Linked DNA regions of Nothobranchius furzeri. The protein of the gene in region 5 purifies or fractionates together with the protein of the main gene of each other region. This does not show direct contact. Links are inferred from orthologs where the notes say so. Each region holds a gene or a part of one and is shown on either strand. Other genes may lie near its edges.

Region 1 (4,123 bases), on a different chromosome or scaffold from region 5:
CTCTGTAGCTTCAGGAGCCACACACAGCACCTCCTCCTCCTAAAACAAAAACACACGAGTCCATGAGACAAACAAACATTTAACTGGTCACACCTTCACTGCCACACTCACCTCTTCAGAGAAATACTTCTCAATCAGGTTGAGGGCAGCTTTGTAGATCATCTCGTTCTCGTGAGACTGCAGCGCCTCGATCTTGTCCAGTCCGCCGCATTCTTCGATCATCAGACTCAGCTTGTCGGCCTCTCCGATTTTATCCCCAGCCTGACGAATCCGACAGACAAGTTTCAGGACCGTGAAGCCACACACGAGAAATCAGCTGATCCAGTCCATTCACACATGTGCTCACCATGAAAATATTAGTTATTGCGTCCAAGATGACGAGGACCGTTTTGCTGTCCTTGGAGGAGAGCAGATTCAGAAGAGGCTCGAGAACATTGACCTGCACCAGATACACCACCTGCTGAACAGTGCCCCCACTGGTGAAGTTTGTAACTGCCCACACCGCTTCTTTTTGAGTTTTGTAGTCACCCTGGAGAAGCAAAAATAAAAATATATTTCTAAACTGTTAGAAGAAAAATAAAGTTTACTCAACAATCTTGTGACACGACGACATACCTGAACGAGCATTTCCACCATGTATGGAACGAGGCCTGCGTCGATGACCTCCTGGATCTGCGTGTCCTTCCCAGCTGTGATGTTGGACAGAGTCCAGGCTGCCTCCTTCTGGATGTTGGGCTTCTTGTGGCGCAGCAGGTGAGGGAACATGGTCAGCGCCTTGGCGTCCAGCACCGCTTGAGTCTGCTCGTCTGTGCCGGTGACGATGTTTCCGATGGCACGCAGCGCCGGAGTCTGGGGGAGGATGATCCATTAACAACCGGGTCCAAGTTGTGTCTCAGTGCAAGGACACGAGGTTTAAGACGGCTGAAGCCCACAGAAACCATACTTGCCAGAAAAGTTACTTACAACTATAGACAGCGCCTCAAAGCCGAGCAGATTCACCAGGCGAGGAATCAGCCCCGTCTGGACCACCACCTCGATACGGTCGTTGGAGCCGTCAGTCAGGTAGGACACGGCCCAGCATGCATCAGCAAGCACCTCCAGGTCATTGTGATGCAGGAGACGAATGAGAGCAGGTAGGAGCTGTTCGATTGCACTCATCGGAGGAGAAGGATTCTTGTTACGGCACAGGTTTGAAATAGTCCAAGTCACATTCCTCAGGTAGCCAGGCTACAGAGAACAGAAGAGCAGGTGTCAGACTAAAGGGGTGAATTATTTTATTGGGTTAGGACACCACCTAGTGGCGGGAGGGATTAACGATTACAGGAATGCGACCATTTCCCAAATGGAGTTCTTGGAAAATGTAAAATCCGAGAAGACTTACACTAAAGACAGTCCAGTCAGGAACTTCCAGCAGCCTGAGTAAAGGTGCCACAGCACCGTGCTTAATTACCATATCTCTGAGAGCAGATCCATCACCTATACAAATAAAAAAATTTAAGTTATTTAGGTTAAAAAAAAACTTGCCTAAAGAATAACTCTGCACTTACCTGCAATGTTTCCAAGAGCCCAGACTGCCTGCTCGCTGATGTGCTGGTGGGGGGATAGGACCAGGTTAATGAAGGCAGGAATGGCCCCACCCTCCACAACAGCAGCCGTCTGATCCGATGTGCCAGAGGCGATGTTCGTCAGAGCCCAGGACGCCTCAAACTGGATAGGAGGACAGTCCGTCAGGCCGAGGAAGGCCACGAACTTGGATATCAGACCAACGCTGATCATCTGATCAATGGGAGGGCGCTTGTCTCGTGACAGAAGTTTCCTGATGACAGAACATCACGGTTGAAGTTACTGCATCAATACTGGTTTACTTTGGAATTTGCAACGTTAAAAAAAAAGACTGTTACCGTGCAGCCTGGGTGGCTTGAAGCTGAGACTCCAGATTACCGCTGTTCACCCCAGTAACGATCTCCTCCACGGTCCATTGTCTTAAATTCTGCTAATGGGGCAAAAGTGGGTCATAATTTAGTGGAAAAAGTTAAGAAACAGGGCTCAAAATCAAAGTACGAGGCTCGGGGTTTGCAACTTTCACCAGATACTGGGACTATTCACCCCCCTACAGCTTAAGATGCAGACCACGTCCTTAACGAATGACACCTGAAGTCTCACCTGGCCGTTCTGAGTTCTTTCCTGGAGAGGAGAAGTGGCCTCTTCCGGTTCTGTGCACACGTTCCTCCTTTTGAAGATCTGGTCGTCTTTCTTGGCTTTTCGAAGCTCGACGTTCACCTCAGCCCTCCTGCGCCGAAGCTCCTGCGTCAGATTCAAACGAATTCAAGTTCAACACAAGTCTGCGCATTCTACCCCGATCACTGACGCTGGGTGCAGCGAGTCTTACGTTAACGTCTTTGCCTTTGTTCTTGAATTTGTTCAGACGTGCGACGTTCTCGGACATTTTCAAGCTAGTGGACTTGAGTAGATGCAAAGTTGGTTCAATTCCTGCGGAAACACGTTTATTTCACACGAAGGTTAATCGATTTGCTCCGAGCTGCCTCGTGACACCATGAGCCGTCAGAAACCGCCGAGCGCTTTACTTCCTGTTTGAAATTAGTTCATTGCTAGTTAATTAAAATAGTGAAATCACGGCTTGGACAGACGAAACAGAAGGGGAAGAAATCGTAAACACGTTTCAAACTTTCCGAATGAGCAGCAAGACCTCACTCACCTGGACTGGAACAGTTGTGATATGGAGAAAATACCGCACAGACCTTTAAATTCCTACTAGACTCGCCTCTGATTGGCCCGTTCGAGCCCAAACGTCGAGCCCTGAGCGTTCATTGGACTGTTCAAAAATTTCATAACACGCACCGGAAATGTCGTTACGTTACGAGAATATCGCGAGACTTATATAACAGCGCTTGTTGGGTTAGATTGTAGTGTTAAAAATAAATCTTTTCACTCTTGTAGGCTAGAAAATAAATGTCCAACACACCAAAGTTAGCGAAAGCCAAAAACTAAATCTAATTTAAAACGGAGCAGCAAACTTTTACTAAAGTCGAGTGAGGTTTTTTTTTAATATTTAAAGAGCAAGTAACCTCTAAATTAACTTTTTTTGCTGATAAACTGTATAAATGAGTGTCTAATAGTGTTTTAAATGTGTGTATTCATTTTTTATAATTTTTTTCTCAGAATTATGAGAAACCAAGTCAGGATTCTGAGATTAAAGTCAGAATCGGTTTCTGTTTGAGACAGCAGGGGAAAATAATGTATAAATAATTCAGATTACATTTAGGCACACACAATTAAGCAAATCTGACACATTTATAGTAATTATGTAAATATATATTGTAATTTTGAGATTTTTTAGTCAGGGATGGAGATTCCTATGGACGAGCTGAGAGTGATGCAGTGTAGTTCAGATATTTTTCATTTGTAACACAAAAAAATCAAGTCAAGAACTGATGAATTTTTTATTTCATTTTTATACAAAAAGGGCAGGAACCTTCAAATACATAATTTTCATACTTCTCAGTCACTACTGCAAATTCACTTACAATAGCCTTTTACCATATTTTCAGTAGGATATATAGAAGTTTAACCAAGATGACTACTGATGTCCAAATATTTAGTAAACTTTCTTTCATGCCACCTCAGACTAAAAAGATAAGTGGAAATGAGTGGCGGGGAAGATAGTCGTCTGAATTCAGACGAATCTCATGGTACATGATGCTCAGTAAAGCTCAGCCATTGTACATCAGTCTTGAAGTTTCTGTTATGAGCTGACATGAAGACCACAAGAAAGGCCTGAGGATTTTTTTTACAAAAAAAAAAAAGGGTTAAAAGAAAATTACACGGAATCGAGAGCTCAGCTCCAGAAGTAAACTTTATCTGAAGTGCCTCCGCTGTCCTCGCACCACCTCCTCCCAAGTGCAGAGCTTCTTATGAAGACAGGTCCCGAGACGCCCGCCTTGCAGCTGAAAACGTGCAGAGGGCAGCTCTGTCTGAAAAACGCCGTGAAAGCAGCAGTGCTGGTTGACTCGGTCGCCCGGCAGCGTGTTGTAGAGTCGGTCTGGAAAAGCCGTTTTCTTGGCGAGTGCATTTTCTACACAGCATTTTTCTAAGAGACCGAAGA
Region 2 (4,049 bases), about 20 Mb from region 5:
ATCTGTTAACAATTCTGAACAAATCTGTTTCCCAAATAACTGAATCAGAATGACATAACCCAAGTTCACGTTTACCTTTATTTATTTACTGAATCTTTATTTAACCAGATGAGTCAATTGAGAACTCATTCTCATTTACAACAAGGGTCTGGCAAGAGGCATTAGCAACAGACACATAATTAGCTTTACACCAAAGAAAAACAGATAAGATAAAAACGTTAGACAAAGGACTGTTCTCATATAAAATATGTACAAGCAATTATAACAATCTTTAAGTACTCAGAAGCAGGCATATTGATCAGAAACTGTTGATTACCTGTGGGACATCCTCCTCCTGAGTAACACTCACAAAGTTTTCAAACATGGCCACCATAGAAGGAGCAGCAATCACGTGACAGTTGACCAAGTCAGACAGAAAACGCACCTGAAAACCAAAAATTAACCCATCATGATGAATTTTAAACTCCCTTTTGTGAAGATTTATTGTGTGAAAATCAGCTTTACCAGGTAAACAGCTTCATTGTACAAGTTGTTTTTCAGGGTCTCCTTCAGCTGTCTGATCATGGCCTCCACAAACTCGCCTCCAAAGTTGTAGTTCCTGGCGTTGAGAAGGCCGACCAAGGTTGTGTAGACGGTAAGCTTCTCAGGTAGCAGGCGGGCGCTGTTGACACACAGTGCTTTAGTAAAGTCTGCCTTCTGAATGCCTCTTTATTAATCAGAAAGCAATAACCTATACAAACATACACAGAACATAAAATACGCAGAATTTTGTTTTTGTAGTTTGGAAGATCTGCCTCTAAGACGCCCGCAAGGCCCTCCAAGTTGCTCTCGAGGGATGATGTACTCTGTTAATAACAAAATACAACAGAGTCAAGTGATGGAGATTTCAGAGCATCTCTCTGTCTGTCTGCTCTTACTTTCTCCCCAACACGACATATCAGGGATTCCAGACGATCTTCAATCTCAATAGGTTCAGAAGTTCTCCTCCTCTTGTGAGCTTGACCTCCTGGTGGGTAAAAGAGTCACACAATCAACACATGTTCATAAACTCTGACCGACACCACAGAAAACACCAACAGAATCTGCGTAAATGAGTAATACATGTAAACACTTGCATATTTATTTGATAAAGGTTGTGTTGTGCTAAGAAACACCTAGATTAACAGAAATTAAGCTGATGTTTAAAAGCTTACACTTTTTAATCGAAGCAGTGCCTTTTAGCAACTTCATCATTGTAACCCAATAAAGGTATTCCTCTGTTAAGGTCACCAGACACAGACATCGCCACACCATAACCCAGTGTCCTTGCATGGCATCAGGGGGCAGACAAGTGTCCGAGTTCAGACTCACTCTAGTTCAGTAGACAAGAACATCTAATCCTAATGTTCAAAACAGTATTATCTATTGAAGATGACAGGCCAAGTGTGTGTGTGTGAGTGTCTTGATAAGGCGTAAAGACTTGCGCAAAAGAATGAGCAACACATCAAAGTTGATTCCTTTAACACAGTTTACGGAGTATGAGAAAGTTTCTTCTCCTAACTCACATCAACACATGAGCCCCTTTTTAGATAATTAATCTGTTAGCAGCATTATAAAAGGAGAATGTCAATACTTTAGCAATTATTCTGTTCCAGAGTGAAGTTCAAGGCTTTTAATCCTTGCTATTTTGACCTGTTGAGGACATACTGACAATGAGACATTATCTGCTTGACAAACCTTCTCAGTGGCCTAGTGGTATGGGTCTCCACCCTGCGACTAGGAAATCAGGGTTCAAATCTGGTTGGGTCATACCAAAGACTTTAAAAATGGGACCCAATATCTCCCTGCACTCAGCTTTAAGGGACTGCATTGGGGGACTAAACCACCAAATAGTTCCCAAGTGCAGCCATCGCTGCAGTTCGCTGCTGCCCACAAGGATGTGTCAAATGCAGAGATGTAATTTCACCAGTGTGCGATGATGACTAATGGGACTTTAAATAAAACTGACAACAATGGAAGGTTTCTGAAACATTCACTTGAAGCTCACACATACTTTTAGGCAGTTACATGACTATTTAAGATTTTTCTCATTCCATGTTTTGTTTTCCATTACCAGCATCTGCATATTATACATGGGTTCAACTGTGAACACATTTCTGTACAAGCAAAAGGGAGAAACGTTTAAAAATGGAATACGCACTGCTTTAACAAAATCAATAGGACAGACACTGGAAATCAAATATTTTCTCTAGAATGATGCTTGTTAGCAGTTTAGCTCACCACATGACGTGTCAGGATTAATTTCCGACTCAGTTTTACACTTTTAACAACTTACCAGAAATGATCCAATTATCAGGTTGTGTATCTTTTACTCATTGGTACCGCCTCCATATCAGTTTAGTTAGCCATCAATCAGCTAACAGTAACAGCATAGGTTATTGGCGGTTGTCTTACGCTGTTCATTCAGCTTCGCTGTTTAGTTTTGCACAAATGTCAGCTGATAACGAGTTTGCTCTTTTTAATTTTGATGGAAGCTATCCAAAAACTCCACGTGTATTAGCAAAACAAATAACCAACATGGGTGAAGGAAAGGAAAACACGCTAATGTTAGCCTATTAGCCTAAAGTGTGACTGAATCTCCGCCGATTTACCGTCATTCTCGTCGCTGTGTCGTCTCCGGGACATATTAGGCCACTTTAAAATCCACACAAGACAACCAAAAGAAAAAACCGATATGAAACGAAGCAGCAAGTCGGACGAACTAGCTGATACTTAGTTAATTTAGCCTGTGCAACGCAGAAACCACCGCAGAAAAATAACAGCGGTATGATTCAAGTGGAGAACTTCCGGGGCAGCACGAGGTCAAATGAAAAGTCCGTCCTCCTATTTCGTCCGACATTGTCGGAAACACGTTTGTGACCTTTTTTTCCTCACCGTGTTTGAGAGTTTATGTTTGGTAAGATGGCAGCAAATAAATGTTAGGACAGCAAGGCACGATCACTGTCTTAAAATGTATTTAATTTAGACAAAAAATCGACTAACTGGCAGTGTTTAACAGCTTCGTTAGGATGGAAGCGATTGAAACCGGCTGCTTCATGAATTTGGATGTTGATTTTTCGACAAGTAATGGATTAAAACAGGAGAGACAACTTTCTGCCTCACAAAGAAGATACTACAGTTTCTGCAGAAGAAAGGTGGGGAAAAAACAATGACCGTTTGTTGGCTTTATGATGAGCTAAGTTATAATAATAATGTATACTTTTTTGTGTATTTCTGATTTGAATGCTGTTTTTGTATTGGTGTACAGCGCTTTGTTTGTCCTCCTGGGCATGTGAAAGCGCTCAATAAATAAAGTTGAACTTATATTATGTAAATACTGGTTTATTTAAATAGTTGTAAATGCAGCATTTATTTTATCTGTTTACATGTCTGACAAATGTTAGGTATCAAAATAAAAACAAAATAACCTGCAGCGACAAACTTCATCCCACATTAAACTTAGAATTTTGCACACATTTACTTAAACTAAATGCCATTCGTGCTTCTTCCTTTTCACAGTCATTTGCTGCCTTCGTAGCATCGAAGAAGGAGTGTGCAGGAAAAGGAAGCACATCTTGGTGCTGCTGTAGCCTGACCTTCGTCGAACATGCTGAGATTCACCAACATGTGGCCAAAACTCACAATTCTAGTATACAGCAGCTCACGCAGGCCACATATGAACATTTGCTAAGCCAGCTGGAAAAAGACACAGAAACACAGCAGCTGAAAGGGAAAAAGACGGAGGCAGTGGACATTTCAATGTGGATACCAGATATCAGCCACATCCCTGAGGGTGAACTAAAAAAGTAAACAGAATGGAGTATATACATATCTATATCCATCCCCTTTATAGATTTGATCAGATTTCAACATATGCAGATTGTTTATTTCTTGTTTTTATGAAGTGGTCCTGGGAAGGTTCTGCTCTATTATTGTTACTGTGAAGTGGACGATCCACATGCTGTCTGTGCATGGCAGGAAGCTCTGTGTGAGTCACTTCACCTAACCGGCAAGGTAAGAAAACCCTTTCA
Region 3 (4,198 bases), on a different chromosome or scaffold from region 5:
TGAACACAACACAACATTGGGTCACCAGAATGTTTGACTGATCGAAGGCACCAGTGTGACTACATGGATGTTTCCCATACCTGTGAGGACCCTCATAGCCCCATGCACAGCATTGACATCTCCACTGACCAGCATCTCCATCAGGAGGGTGAAGAGCTGCGGCCACGCCTCGGGCCAATCCCAGTGGGCGATGGCTGACACGGCATAGGCGACACTGGAGCGAACTTTGCTGATGGACTCTCGCAAACCGCTCGGGAGCAGCTCCCTGATGTCAGCTTTAGCCTGGAGAAACACAACACCTGACTGACAATGTCTGGCTTCAAAATGCCCCAGTGGTTTCTGAAGCAGCTGTATCCAGGGGAGCGTTTTACCTGATCCGTGGTTTCAGGAGGCCTGAACTTCTCTGACTGGGAGCACCAGTGAGTCTCCACATACTGCTTCAGAATGACAGAGGCCAGCTGCAAACACAAATAACCCCATATCAGTCTAACTGCACGTCACAGCAACAGAAACAAACACGATCATGAAAAGGGTTCAGATTGCGAGAAACACGCATCTGTCTGCTCACCTGACGGATGGCAAGTGCCCCCCAAGGGTCAACTGTGAGTTCTGCTAGGTGGACACCAAATTCTGGAAAACCAGCACAACGACAGGGAAGATTTAAATAAACATTTCACACAAACTTTAATGACTGACTGCTATTGAGGCGACTGATCGAACCCCCCTCTCTGAATGTCTCAGATCAGTAACATGTTGAAGTCAGGATTAATTTTGACTTTGATAAACAGAAACCATGCATTTAATTGTCCAGAGCCTAAACCAGAAGCTACAACATCTCAGAAAAAAACACAACAAGAGCAGAAGATGCAAACAAGCAACAACTCGTGAGTTTAAAATGGCTTTTTAGATGAAGATGGAGCCAAAAGTGGTAAATATAAAACACAATTCAGAGACTTAAAAAACGCTGCGAGCGGACAATGATTTCATCCGCCGTTCAGCCCTGCTTCTAGCTGGGTTTTACAAAAGTGACATCAGGCGCCAGAAGACAATGTTAGTGCTGACAATCCCACAGAGCACCTGCCCGAGAGAGGGGCCAGTGTAAAGGGTCGGACTTAATGCAACACTGTGTGTGCACCGACTGTGCATGATTAACATTTCAGCTGCAGCATGAGAACTCCAGAACAATAAAGCAGTTTAGTCGAGCTGCACTCAGTATACACGCATTTCAGCTCGACAGCAAAAAGGAAATCATCTTTTATTTGTCACATAACATTTTCGTAGCTCAAAAATGATCAGCTGGAGATGGAGACAGACAGAAAACTAACAATTATAAACTGCATTTAGCAGAGGTGGTGCTGGGGAAAGTCCAGGGTGGGCAAGTGCCACCCTGACAGCTAGCTTGGACCTCCTGTGCTCCCCACCTGAAGGCAAACCCTGGCCACTAATAATAAACACTAAACACTTTTTGTTATAGTTTCACTTAATGCAAAATGTGGAACCAAAGCACGTGCATGCATTTGTACAAAGTTGAGATGTTATGAAATAGGGTTGGAATAACAGAGCCTGGTCCTCCTGGCACTGAGTTGCTTTGTACCCATCTAAATATCATTTTGGGATCTCAACACATCAAACAATGATTGTTGGACCAAGAAGAAACTGTTATGGTTTAGTTTGGTAAGCAAATGATGACGCATGTCCCGACGTGAAACACCTCCTAATGCAGCTGGACACTGGGACTTTCTTCGGCGGGCTTCGGTAGGCGCAGCCCCCCCCCCCCCCCCCCCCTGGAGATAACTTCGCGGGAAAATGTGTCAGTGGTTACCAGAGACTACGGGGACAAACTGACAGTCTATTTGGAAATAATGTTCGTATTAAAAGCTACATGTCGTTTGACATGGGACGTGAGGTAACGCTGAACTCAAATATGAGCTAAAACATCAGCTCGCTCGACCTTTGAACGTTTTTAAGTAACAATGATGGTTTCCGATTCATACAGGACGAAAAAAGAAAACAATGAATTATGCCAATTTGCAACTGTAAAACACTCAAAATGTAGGTCTTTACTACACACACGCGTCAAAAACAAGAATATTTGCGTTTCTGAGATAACTGAAGTGTAGTTTACCTTGCTGCAGAGGCCGGGGTCCAAATATTACCCATCCATGTGCTGCAAATAACTTACATGCTAGGTTTCCGCTAATATTTACGCCTAACGCCACTAGCTTCGCGGAGCAGGGTCCAGTCGGCTTTCCTGACAACGGAGCCGGGCTTTCGAGCCCATTACAGGACAGTGTTTTCTTTTCACTATCAAAACAGTTTCAGTCACCAACAACTTCTGAGAATATGGCCTAACATTAGCCACGGAGTTCTGCTAACGCTCCGGCTACTAGCTGGCTTAACAGCAGTCCAAGCCCTGACACAAAGCACCTCTCGGCCGTTTTAGAAGTCAATACTCGGATGATGATCACGCTTAACCCCGGGGGAGCCTTTAGGATCCGACCACCGCTTACCCTCAGTCACTTCCAGCACTTTGACCTGTTCCTCCGCGGCAGCGCGCACTTCTTGAACCGGAGACAGGATGGCCGTTAGCGTCTCAATCAGAGCCTCTTTCAGTCCCTGCTGGACGGGTCCGGCTGACGAACCGGCCCGAACATCGCCCGCTGCGTTCATGCCTGCTCCGTTTACTCTGTCGCACACTGCTCCACCACGGTGAGCTCTCTTCGGCCGGGGAGGTGCGGTGAAGCACGGCCACAGAGCTGTAGGTGCGCGCCAATGGAAGAGAAAGCGGGAGGCGGGGTTTCGCCGGAGGAAGCACGTTCAGTAAGCAGCCTGGTTTTAGACCCACGTGGTTCTTTTTTGTATATTTATGTTGATGTTGAACTCTGGCTCCCTCTAGCGGCCCGGTGGGTGTAGACCTTCGAGGAATTTTCCATGTTGCTCGTTTTTCTCGAGTATTTTAACACTAGGAAACCGCCTAACACACTAATGCCGATCATCTGTAGATAAATGTTGGTAAAGTAGGAGGGAAAAAAAAGAATATATATATATATATATATATATATATATATATAATTTGCAAGGTTTATTTGTAGGTTAATGACTATTTAATTTTGGTTCGTTTTACCTTTGGAAAGCTTTCTATACATATAAGGACGGGCAATGAACTTGTAAGGTGTAGCTCCAATAACATCAATGCAGTAGGTGTTCAATACTTGTGCATGACTTACATAGTATGCCTGTCTCCCTTACAGTATGCTGCATAGTTCTGAACCCAAGTTTAATTTTCATTCAAGGTTTTTAGTGGTCGAATGTTACAACAATAGCTTACTGCCTATGTGTATATACATATACTACTTTTATTATTTTTCTTTGAATTATTGTCTAAGTGTTGGTGCTGCTGTAACAAGTGAATTTCCCCACTGTGTGATCAATAAAGTCTACTCTATTCTATTCTAAATAAACTATAGAAGTTTAGTTGAACAAACAAGAAATCCCCACTACTAACCCACTAATCAGACTGCAGGTCAGCTGGGCATGATTTGGTCAACCCATTTAGTCTAATTTATGAAACCAGTTAATCTGGACCAATCAAGAAGCATCTAGGGTTCAAAATCAGGTAATTTATCAAAGTGAGTTCCAAGCTGCTGATGTTTTGCAGCATCATCCTGCATCAGTACCAGGCCTCCTCTTGCTGTTTGGTAATTTAACTGAAAACCTTCCCATGTTGTTCAGGTTTACAAATTCATGCAGATCTCCAGTTACAGATTTTGCTCACTCAGCTAAGTGTAAACTCACTTACCAGTGCAGCTTGGGTGACAATGGGGACACAGATGTAGGGGCGTTGACATAAAAACAAATCAAATCATCACTGCTGCACACCGGACAGAAGAAACCTTGTTTGCTGAGATTTCAAAGGAAAACAAATGAACTGACATTAGTCTATCAGGGTGATGTGTTCCACATTCTCAGGCCAACGTTTGGTTTTTCCTACAAAAACCTGACACAGAAACCAATGAAAGGTGGATGTTGTTGACAATGGTGTAAGCTGATTTAAAGGAAGTGACTTTGGTGATAAAGCCTGATTTTGGGGTGTTTGAAACAGTTAAATCCTGCTGAAACTGCCCACCTCTTTGTTAAAGTCTGGATTAAAACCCGATTTAGTTTAAGGCATGTGAGCAGTTTTATGATTTGGAGATTA
Region 4 (4,145 bases), on a different chromosome or scaffold from region 5:
CTGCTGGAGGCTCCAAAAGTAGGGGAGGACACATCTAGCGGGTTGAAGTGGAGGTGAGAGCGACTAAGAGGAGGTCGGGAGAGCACGTACTCCTGAAAGTTCAGGGATGCGTGACTTGTTGAGGGTTCTGTGCAAATGAAAGGGAAGTTAATATCATGAATGACAGAAGAAACAGCAAAATGTTGTTTCTGAGCAACTTCTAACCTGTGTTACTGGTGCTTGGCTCTGGTGAATCCCGTCCATCAAAAGAAGGAGGTCCTTCTTCATTACCATTCGGAGGAGGAGGAGGAGGAGGAGGTGGCAGCAGGCAGCTCTGGTCTGTCCGTTGTCCTCCCTCTCCTCCTTCGGGAGCATCTCCGTTCTTAAAGTATTTCTGCAGCCAGGAAGGAACGATGCTCTTCACCGTGTCCGTCACTCGACTAATCAGGCCTGACTGCTGCAGATCAAGACACAAGAAATATGGCGTTAGACAAAGAATATACAAGGAATGTAGAAAAACAAAATAATAAGCATGTTTTTGTTACATTTCCAGGTTTTACAGATGTATATGTCCCCTAAAAGAAACAGACATAACCAATCACACAGCAAAAATGAAAATAATTTTTTAATGAAAGAAAAACAAAACAACTTTACTTTGGCGTATAAAAACTTGCTTTTGTTGTTACAAAAATAAATAAACTAAAGAACATTTTTCAGCTTTACAGAAACAGGATTTATTAGTTGGGCGTTGTGTGGTTTCTCATTACCAACCCATGTTGGCAGAACTGAATGCTGCCATTGCCACAATTATGAATGAAGGCATTTGTTTCCTCCTTATGGGTGTTTTTTAATAAGTAAACATCATACTGGGATTACCCACTGTTAGTGTCACATATGTACCATGATGGCGGGCCTAGCTATAAGAGGGATGGGTTGAAAACCTGCTATTCATGAATCATCTAAACGATTCCACTTTGATTAACCCAAAATACTGAGTTTGTTTCATTTCATTTATAAAATCACTATCCCATCTTTTGTTTATTTTTCCCTTTCATCTAAAGAAAACAAGACTATGTTGAACAGAATGTGCTCCAACTAGTCTGCTGCACATCAACAACTGTGGTGACTTGCAGCAAACTGCAAACATGGTTAAATCCAGATTTATTTTTCTTCCAAGTCAAAATTAATAATCTTAATGTTTCTATTAAAAGTGAATTAAAGTTGTACAAAAAGCAACTGGACTTCTTTTAAACTCCCAGAGAGATGTCAGATTTTCTGCAGCTCGTCTCAGGTTGCTGCAATTTGTATTTGACATTTTTGTATTACCCCAAATTTTCCAAACAGTTAAACATTAATGACTTGTGCAGTTGGGTACTTTCAGAAAAACTTTTCTGATCTTCGTGACATGGCACAAATATTAGCAAGAAGCAAGCATGTTGCTAACACAAGAACTGAATGTTTAATTTACTTACCATGTAAATCAAAAAGCCACAGCAAATCTTTAGTTTATTAGCATTTGCAAAACTAGACTTTACTTGTTCTTGTCGTTATTTGTTTAAAATAATGCAACTTCTTCTAATTGTAACACCTCATAATACAACGCTAATAATGTGGTAAACAGCAAGGTTGCGCAATAACCTACAACCATCAGCTTTGTGTCTGCCACTAACCTGCATGTTTAACATCTTATGTACTTGTTTGATTTCAATAAAGGCTGATTTATTGCAAAAACATGAGTGCCAGGCCTGTATAGAATAAGAACATACAAGTTTTAAAGTGAGGTGGAAATGGATGCACATGTTTTGATGTAGCAGAGTTGTTTATGGTCAACTTAGCAAATTTTAAATAATTAACGGACAACGTTTGTCATAAAAACACTGCTGACAAAGTAATTATTTATTAATACACCGACCTTAGTTAGATATCATTTCTGCAACTCTAGAGACTTAAGCATTTTATTATAAACACACTATGTGGAAATTTTAAGAGATGACAAAACAGATCAGAGAAACCGCCGAGTGCCCAGCCACGTCTTGCCTAATGTCTACATTTTAGAGTGCTTTTAAAAACGTCAACTTTGACATCAGGGCGGTAGATTATCCCTCAGGGGGACCATGTGGGTTCCCAATAAACCCAACGCTCCTTGCGCAATTCTGCAGGCTGAGATTTGACTTACACTAGTCATTTATATAATACCTCAGTGGTATTATTGTACAGCTGCATTATAAACGTTCACGTACTTAAATAAATATGTAACGACGGAATAAATGATCGTGTCACTTGAATCTGCGATGTTGAAAAGCACCAAAGACAATGCGTTGTACGCCGATGCTAGTGGGTTAGCTCCAATTAGCAGCTGAAATTCTACTTCCTCGCTTCGTGCTAACTTGGCTAATCACTTTCAACTTACAAAATTATTATCTCAGCTTTTCATGTAGGGATCTGAGCTAAAACAAAAACTAACTAAGTTTTCTGGACGATACACTGTCGTTATTTGACTGTCAAGTCCGTCTAATTTTGCTAACCTTAAGCCAACTTGCTAGTTTGTTAGCATTTCATGGGCATGCTAGCGGCGCGTGGAGGCCACGAGCGCTAACTGAAGGCCATAAAATGTCTCAAACAAAACAATAACAAAACAAACTGAAGAATTGTGGCAATTCAATCACTGTGCTGTGCTCGACTGAGGCTGTTAACACGGAAACTTTCACTTGATTTACCTGTTTACTCTTGGCGTAAGGTTTAGAAGCAATCTGACATCTCCTGCTTCTAATTTTCCCTCCACCCGTGGCCGCCATGGCTCTGTCGTCTGAGTGAGTCTGCCGTTGTTTCGGCGCCGGATAGCTGTCATCCAGCACAGCGGCCGCCGGCAGATGAATTGTGGGTAATGTAGTGAGTGACCATAACAAAAGAGGTCAAGGGCTCTTTATGGAGCCGTTTTTCTGTGCGCAGCATTTATTTATTGGATTATTATTTATTGAGACTGGGGTGAAAACTATTAGCTTATTTAAAAAAAAAAGAATTCAAGATAGTCTTGAAATAAAAAAAATGATTGATGTTGTTTTCATTTATCTGATAATAGCTGGCTACCCCTAAACAATTTTCACAGGGGCGGCCAGATGGGGGGCAGTGAAAATTTGGGGTGGCACACCAAATTGGTCCCCGTGGCAATAATAATTTCAAAATTGACAAACACAAACATTTCAGAATAAATCCAGTTATTACTGGCCTTGTTTCATATTATTTGACGGTTTTAAAAGTTTAATTTACGCATTGCTGTCATAACAAAATTATTGGGATTTATGCCTTTTTATTAAAATGAGGAGGTTCTGTGGCACAAGCATATTTTTAAATACAGATTTATTGAATACGGTATTTATTGTTACTTATTAACAATCGATCAAAATAAACGTACTGACATCTATTTATGTCTTGATCAAAAAAGATTAATGTATGATTTGTGTGAACATAAATGTGTTTTAAGGGAGTGTGTGTGTGGGGCAGAGGGCTTCCACAGGTCACGAGGCAGGGATGGCCAACTATTTTTTAAAGATGGCAATGCCCTCCCTATTTCATCGCAGACCTAAAAGAGTAGGTCAACAAGGGCTACATTCCATTTCTGCAGATGCACTTACTGGTTGTAAGTGGAACGGAGTACGGTGAAACAGATCTACAAAAAACAGTTTTTACTTTCAACATTCTGAGCCGTTTGTTGAATATTTACACAAAATAATCCAGACACCACCAGTGTACATGTGTGTGTAATGCGGAAGAAGATTAGGGCACTGAAAGAAAAAAAAATTTAAATCAGCTGTAAAACTTATGACTTTATCAGTGGCCCCAATCCTCCTCCGTAGTATGAAGCTTCATTGCCTTGAATTTTAGCTTTTACACTCAAACCTGAACCGGAGTCAACCAGACAAATGTTTTTATTAGCATTCTGGATTTTTAAAATCACTGATGCAACTTTAAATATGCATTCAGTATAATAATATCCCTGCTGTTTCATGTTACATCCATTCTTCTTCTCAGAATGAATGAATATTTATTATTAGCGTTGCTCATTGTCTCTTTTCTCCATGCTTGATGACAAATCTGCTCTTGGAAGGAACCTTCCTCCATTTTGTGGGCTGCAAACTTCCCAGTGAATCCGTTTGAGCTACGGAACA
Region 5 (4,170 bases):
GAAATGGTAGCTTAATGCTTCTCATGAATGAATCAAACAGAATGATTTTCCCCAAGGGGATCAATAAAGTACACATTATTCATCATCTTTATGTTGAATGTTTGACATGTTAATATATTTATAATACCGGGAACAGTATTCATCCAGGATCTCCCTTCTCTCCCATTCAATTCTTTTCAATATAAATTAGGACAAAGATGTTATCTACAAGTTTAAACCCTGTATAGTTTCACAAAAAATAATGTTTGACTCATTGTTTTACCGTTTTCCATTTAAAAACATCACCAACCCAAAGCAGCTGTTAGTTGTAGAATTTCAGACATTGCAGAATGACACCAAGTTTGTTAAACTAATATATAAAAAGGTTGGTATTGCTTGATTTTCCATCTACTACAATCAGTTATGTGACTGATGCTGGAAGTCATTTATAGCTAGCTATATGGAGTAACTAGTACTTAGAATTTCTGCATTTTTGCACTCTTTGGGATTACTGAGGACAGTCATTCTTATTTGGCCTATTATTCATAGACTTGATAAGAGAATGGTTTTAAATAACATGGACATGAAATAGTTGTGTTTATCTTTCAACTACAAGAATAATAAAAACCACTTGTTTTATGAAGTAATTTCAACAAACACTAATTTCACAGGAAGACCAGAACTGTGCATTTTACACGTCTGTGTCATAAACTTGTGATGCAGCGATTTTACAATATTTTCTGTAAATGTGATGTTCTAAACATTAGTGGCAAACCTAATTTGGTAAAAACAAACACTGGGTTAGTCTTGTACAGTTTACATTTAACTTTCTCAGGTTACTCACCAACATACTTCTTCTCAAACTCTCCTGTAATGTGTCTCTTCACAAAAGTTGTTTTTCCCGTGCCTCCATCTCCGACCAACACCAGCTGTGAAGAACAGACCAGTTATCTACTGACCGGTTTGTGCTGGTACACCAGTTACCTCAGCTAAAACGCACACATTTTTGCCCTCACGCGCCATAATTAGATCATACTTAACATCATTCTTAAGAAGTAGATTCTTACCTTGAACACCGCCACAGGTACACACTGTCCCATAGAGTCAGCCATGGTTCCAAATATTCTGAAACAAACAAGGCGGGAATCTACCGTTAGTGTTATCTATACGTTGATTTAAGTTAAAGATTCTCAATAACTCAATTTGGCATTCTGGGAATATTGTTCACACGGGGCTTTGAACACGCACCATTCTGTACAGACGAGTTTACAGCTAAGGGATAACTTCTAGCATGTTCTATCCAAGCTAACGTTCCGACATGTTCAAATGCGACGTTATAATTTATGAAAGCTTGCTAACGCATCAACAAACAGCCTCTAACTGCTCTCCGGTGTGCCAAAATATAAAGTAAAACAAAGCTACCGTGCCCCCCAAAAGCCTCAGCACTGGCGGTTACCAACTAGCCTTCAAGCTAACAGGCGTTAGTTTAGTGCGCCATATGATGCCTGAGCGCACTTTTTCAGGTTCGACTGGAACAATCAGACAGTCACAGAAGCTAATGCGTTCCATGTTGCCGTCAATTTCTGGTCTAAACAAGACGCCTTCCGTAAATAACGTTAATTGCGAACAAGAAAAAATTGTGAAAACTCCCTGGCAAATATACACAAATAAGAGTAATAGGAACAAATATCCCAGAACAAAGCCGTGAAATGGAGCATTGCTGTGCTCGCTAGCCTCACAGCTAGCACAGCATGGAAGCCATTCTTCCCCGTTAGCTGGTAGCACAAAAAATGCGACGGCCTTTCCCCCTCAACTGCTGTTAAGGCTGCACATGCAAAACGACCTTAACCCAAAAGAAGAAAATAACCCAAAAAGTTTTGTTTCATTCTTAGTGACTTAAAAACAATCCAAACTTGACATTTAGGAAGGCCCTCAATTGAAGAGGAAACTAGCGACTCACCGGTGTCACTGCGAAGAGAGGAAAGAGTAAATGGCTGCGTTCGCGGCAGATTCAGCGTGGACTATGAGTCACTTTCCGCCCTGGTCACGTGGCCTCCGCAGCGCCAAAAACGCATAAAATATAGAACATGAATCAGCATCCGTCTGATATACCTTCACGATGCGCACTCCGCTGCTTTGTTCTCAAAGCAACACTTCTAGAGATTAAACCGTATATATCATGTTTTTAAAGTGTTGATCAAGACATATGGGCCCGATAAGAAGCCAGCTAGTTTTTGTTGTTCAAAGGTTTCTGCCCTTTTCTGAAAACTTCCAAGGACCTTCGGGGTTATAAATCATAAATTTGACATTTGCACTAAAAGGAGGTTTTGACAGGAGGAGCCTTTCCCAGACACCAGTGTCTTTCTGTACTTCTCTACTTCAGGAACCCCTTTCAGGCTCTCTAAAGATTACGGAGTAATGAAGGGAGGCAGATGCCCGATGATATGTGTTACTTAACTCTATAGACATTTCTGTGTTTATGTCCATGCTTTAACCCCGGCTCTTCCATTGTTTGTTCCTGTAGCAAAGTTAACACGCAGGGTTAAAGAGTGGCCTTTAAAACTCATCTGGTTTAAAAATACATAATCAATTTGTATAATTTCACCCGTAGTTCATACCTTAGTGGAAACTGCAAACCAGAGCTGACAGAAATGGGACCAAGTAATAGGTTCAAATGATTCTGGGCCTGTGTTTTATATTAGATCATGCAGTTAAATAAAACAGATCTAACAAGCTTGAAGAATTTTCCTGAAAAACATGTTATGACTGTTGATGAGGCACAAAAGAAGCAGAGAGAATTAAAACTAATTTGTACTCTTTTTAAATTACATTATTAAACTGCTATGACATTTTTCAAGTTGTGATTGCACTTAAACTAGCTGTTAGCTCATCAATCCTGTTGAATGTTTCAGTCCATTCAGAAAGCTAAATAAAATAGTAATTACTTATATCCTTTATATAAAAATACACTTCAAACTGGTCAAAACAATTCTGTTGAGGTTGAAATCAGAAGCTGCAGGTATGCTTCACTCCCAATTCTCCAACTAATCTAACACCAGCCTAGGTTTAAAATATGGTTTATTTAATTACCCTCAGTTGTTCTGGAGAAGCATTACATTGAAATGTTCAACTTAAAAACAATAAAAAATGTTTTAATGTGTCTGTAAATATCAGTGAGTAAAAACAAATGAATTCAACACATGAACAGTTCAAACTAACCCAATCCTACAACAAAACAAGCCAAACAGTGCCTGACCAACAAGAAAGCTCCCAACCTGTTCTAGCCAATGGCAAAAGAGCTGTAGTATTTAACCCTGGCTGATCCACTGAGTAGAAAACATTCTGTGGATAAGGAATAGTCGAGTCAGTTGGAGACAGGTCAAATCATTACCGCATGAGACCATCATTAGGTTAAAAACTGCCATATATCTAAAATAACGAAAGATAAAGAAAATTTTGCAAAAATGCTTACTAAGTAGAACTCGAGGGAATAGTGAAATGATTTCCAGAAACACATTATAAGGACTAACCAATGTAACCAGACTAAACAGCCGTTTAGCTCAGAGAGACACGCATTACTGAGGATATAAACCTCAGTTAGATGGGAAGCAGCAAGACTGATTCCTGACAACAACAGGATCTAAATGATTTAAGATGTTATTTTTCTAATAAAGGATTAACCAACAGAGCCACCCCCCCCCCCCAGTCATAAATACAAGATGAAAATTTAAGTTACTCAGTTAAGTTTTATGATTTACAGAAAAAGCTCAACAGTGAAGGTGTGCCTATAAAAAAGCTTTTAGAACAACTTTTGTTAGATTTGTTTATTTTTGTTTATGGCCAGTTAATGTATGATTACTGGGCTTGCTTCAAAATGAGCATTTTAACTCCACAACATGTAGCTATTTCTATAATGTACATAAGCATGATGCCAAAATGGTTTGTTTTTACAAGAAGTGGTTTATCTGTACAAATAGTCTGCCTGTATATTGGCTGCTATCTCAGGCTCCCATCGGTCTCCGTTGTTGAGCAGCTTTTCCTTGTTGTAAAGAAGCTCCTCGTGCGTTTCTGTAGAAAACTCAAAGTTTGGACCCTGAGGAGAAGGTTGAGAGAAAAATATCAAACAGCAAATACTGGATAGGAAAAGGTAAGCAGCGATTCTTTTTTGTGGAAGAAGTGTTGCTTTTTGTT

What was found.
Region 1: the proteins of ran (region 5) and kpna2 purify together in Homo sapiens (affinity purification with mass spectrometry; 3 studies listed by BioGRID and IntAct, with this or other methods). This does not show direct contact. The link is inferred for Nothobranchius furzeri from reciprocal best matches to the Homo sapiens genes RAN and KPNA2.
Region 2: the proteins of ran (region 5) and nuclear cap-binding protein subunit 1 purify together in Homo sapiens (co-immunoprecipitation; 3 studies listed by BioGRID and IntAct, with this or other methods). This does not show direct contact. The link is inferred for Nothobranchius furzeri from reciprocal best matches to the Homo sapiens genes RAN and NCBP1.
Region 3: the proteins of ran (region 5) and ipo9 purify together in Homo sapiens (affinity purification with mass spectrometry; 3 studies listed by BioGRID and IntAct, with this or other methods). This does not show direct contact. The link is inferred for Nothobranchius furzeri from reciprocal best matches to the Homo sapiens genes RAN and IPO9.
Region 4: the proteins of ran (region 5) and nup153 purify together in Homo sapiens (affinity purification with mass spectrometry; 5 studies listed by BioGRID and IntAct, counting the BioPlex papers as one, with this or other methods). This does not show direct contact. The link is inferred for Nothobranchius furzeri from reciprocal best matches to the Homo sapiens genes RAN and NUP153.

Annotation. Positions count from the first base shown.
Region 1 is NC_091752.1:67,643,898-67,648,020, forward strand, and holds the start of kpna2 (importin subunit alpha-1), read right to left. Parts: upstream 2,801-4,123; 5' UTR 2,717-2,800; intron 2,491-2,716; 5' UTR 2,447-2,490; coding exon 2,390-2,446; intron 2,305-2,389; coding exon 2,164-2,304; intron 1,994-2,163; coding exon 1,902-1,993; intron 1,817-1,901; coding exon 1,548-1,816; intron 1,477-1,547; coding exon 1,382-1,476; intron 1,228-1,381; coding exon 964-1,227; intron 850-963; coding exon 616-849; intron 530-615; coding exon 347-529; intron 262-346; coding exon 112-261; intron 40-111; coding exon 1-39. Other genes in the region: nucleosome-remodeling factor subunit BPTF, read right to left, coding at 4,109-4,123.
Region 2 is NC_091741.1:71,547,688-71,551,736, forward strand, and holds the start of nuclear cap-binding protein subunit 1, read right to left. Parts: upstream 2,803-4,049; 5' UTR 2,665-2,802; coding exon 2,631-2,664; intron 1,007-2,630; coding exon 918-1,006; intron 846-917; coding exon 745-845; intron 662-744; coding exon 505-661; intron 425-504; coding exon 317-424; intron 1-316. Other genes in the region: thiosulfate sulfurtransferase/rhodanese-like domain-containing protein 2, read left to right, coding at 3,048-3,173, 3,538-3,824, 3,924-4,032. UniProt on the Homo sapiens protein: Component of the cap-binding complex (CBC), which binds cotranscriptionally to the 5'-cap of pre-mRNAs and is involved in various processes such as pre-mRNA splicing, translation regulation, nonsense-mediated mRNA decay, RNA-mediated gene silencing (RNAi) by microRNAs (miRNAs) and mRNA export.
Region 3 is NC_091743.1:60,962,314-60,966,511, forward strand, and holds the start of ipo9 (importin-9), read right to left. Parts: upstream 2,807-4,198; 5' UTR 2,671-2,806; coding exon 2,511-2,670; intron 631-2,510; coding exon 569-630; intron 459-568; coding exon 372-458; intron 283-371; coding exon 81-282; intron 1-80. UniProt on the Homo sapiens protein: Nuclear transport receptor that mediates nuclear import of proteins, such as histones, proteasome and actin. Serves as receptor for nuclear localization signals (NLS) in cargo substrates.
Region 4 is NC_091759.1:104,978-109,122, forward strand, and holds the start of nup153 (nuclear pore complex protein Nup153), read right to left. Parts: upstream 2,809-4,145; 5' UTR 2,775-2,808; coding exon 2,697-2,774; intron 437-2,696; coding exon 205-436; intron 128-204; coding exon 1-127. Other genes in the region: ptdss1b (phosphatidylserine synthase 1), read right to left, coding at 4,038-4,135. UniProt on the Homo sapiens protein: Component of the nuclear pore complex (NPC), a complex required for the trafficking across the nuclear envelope. Functions as a scaffolding element in the nuclear phase of the NPC essential for normal nucleocytoplasmic transport of proteins and mRNAs.
Region 5 is NC_091741.1:91,737,589-91,741,758, reverse strand, and holds the start of ran (GTP-binding nuclear protein Ran), read right to left. Parts: upstream 2,807-4,170; 5' UTR 1,940-2,806; intron 1,447-1,939; exon of another isoform or gene 1,228-1,446; intron 1,105-1,227; 5' UTR 1,092-1,104; coding exon 1,047-1,091; intron 909-1,046; coding exon 824-908; intron 1-823. Other genes in the region: ndufs8b (NADH:ubiquinone oxidoreductase core subunit S8b), read right to left, coding at 3,941-4,072. UniProt on the Homo sapiens protein: GTPase involved in nucleocytoplasmic transport, participating both to the import and the export from the nucleus of proteins and RNAs. Switches between a cytoplasmic GDP- and a nuclear GTP-bound state by nucleotide exchange and GTP hydrolysis.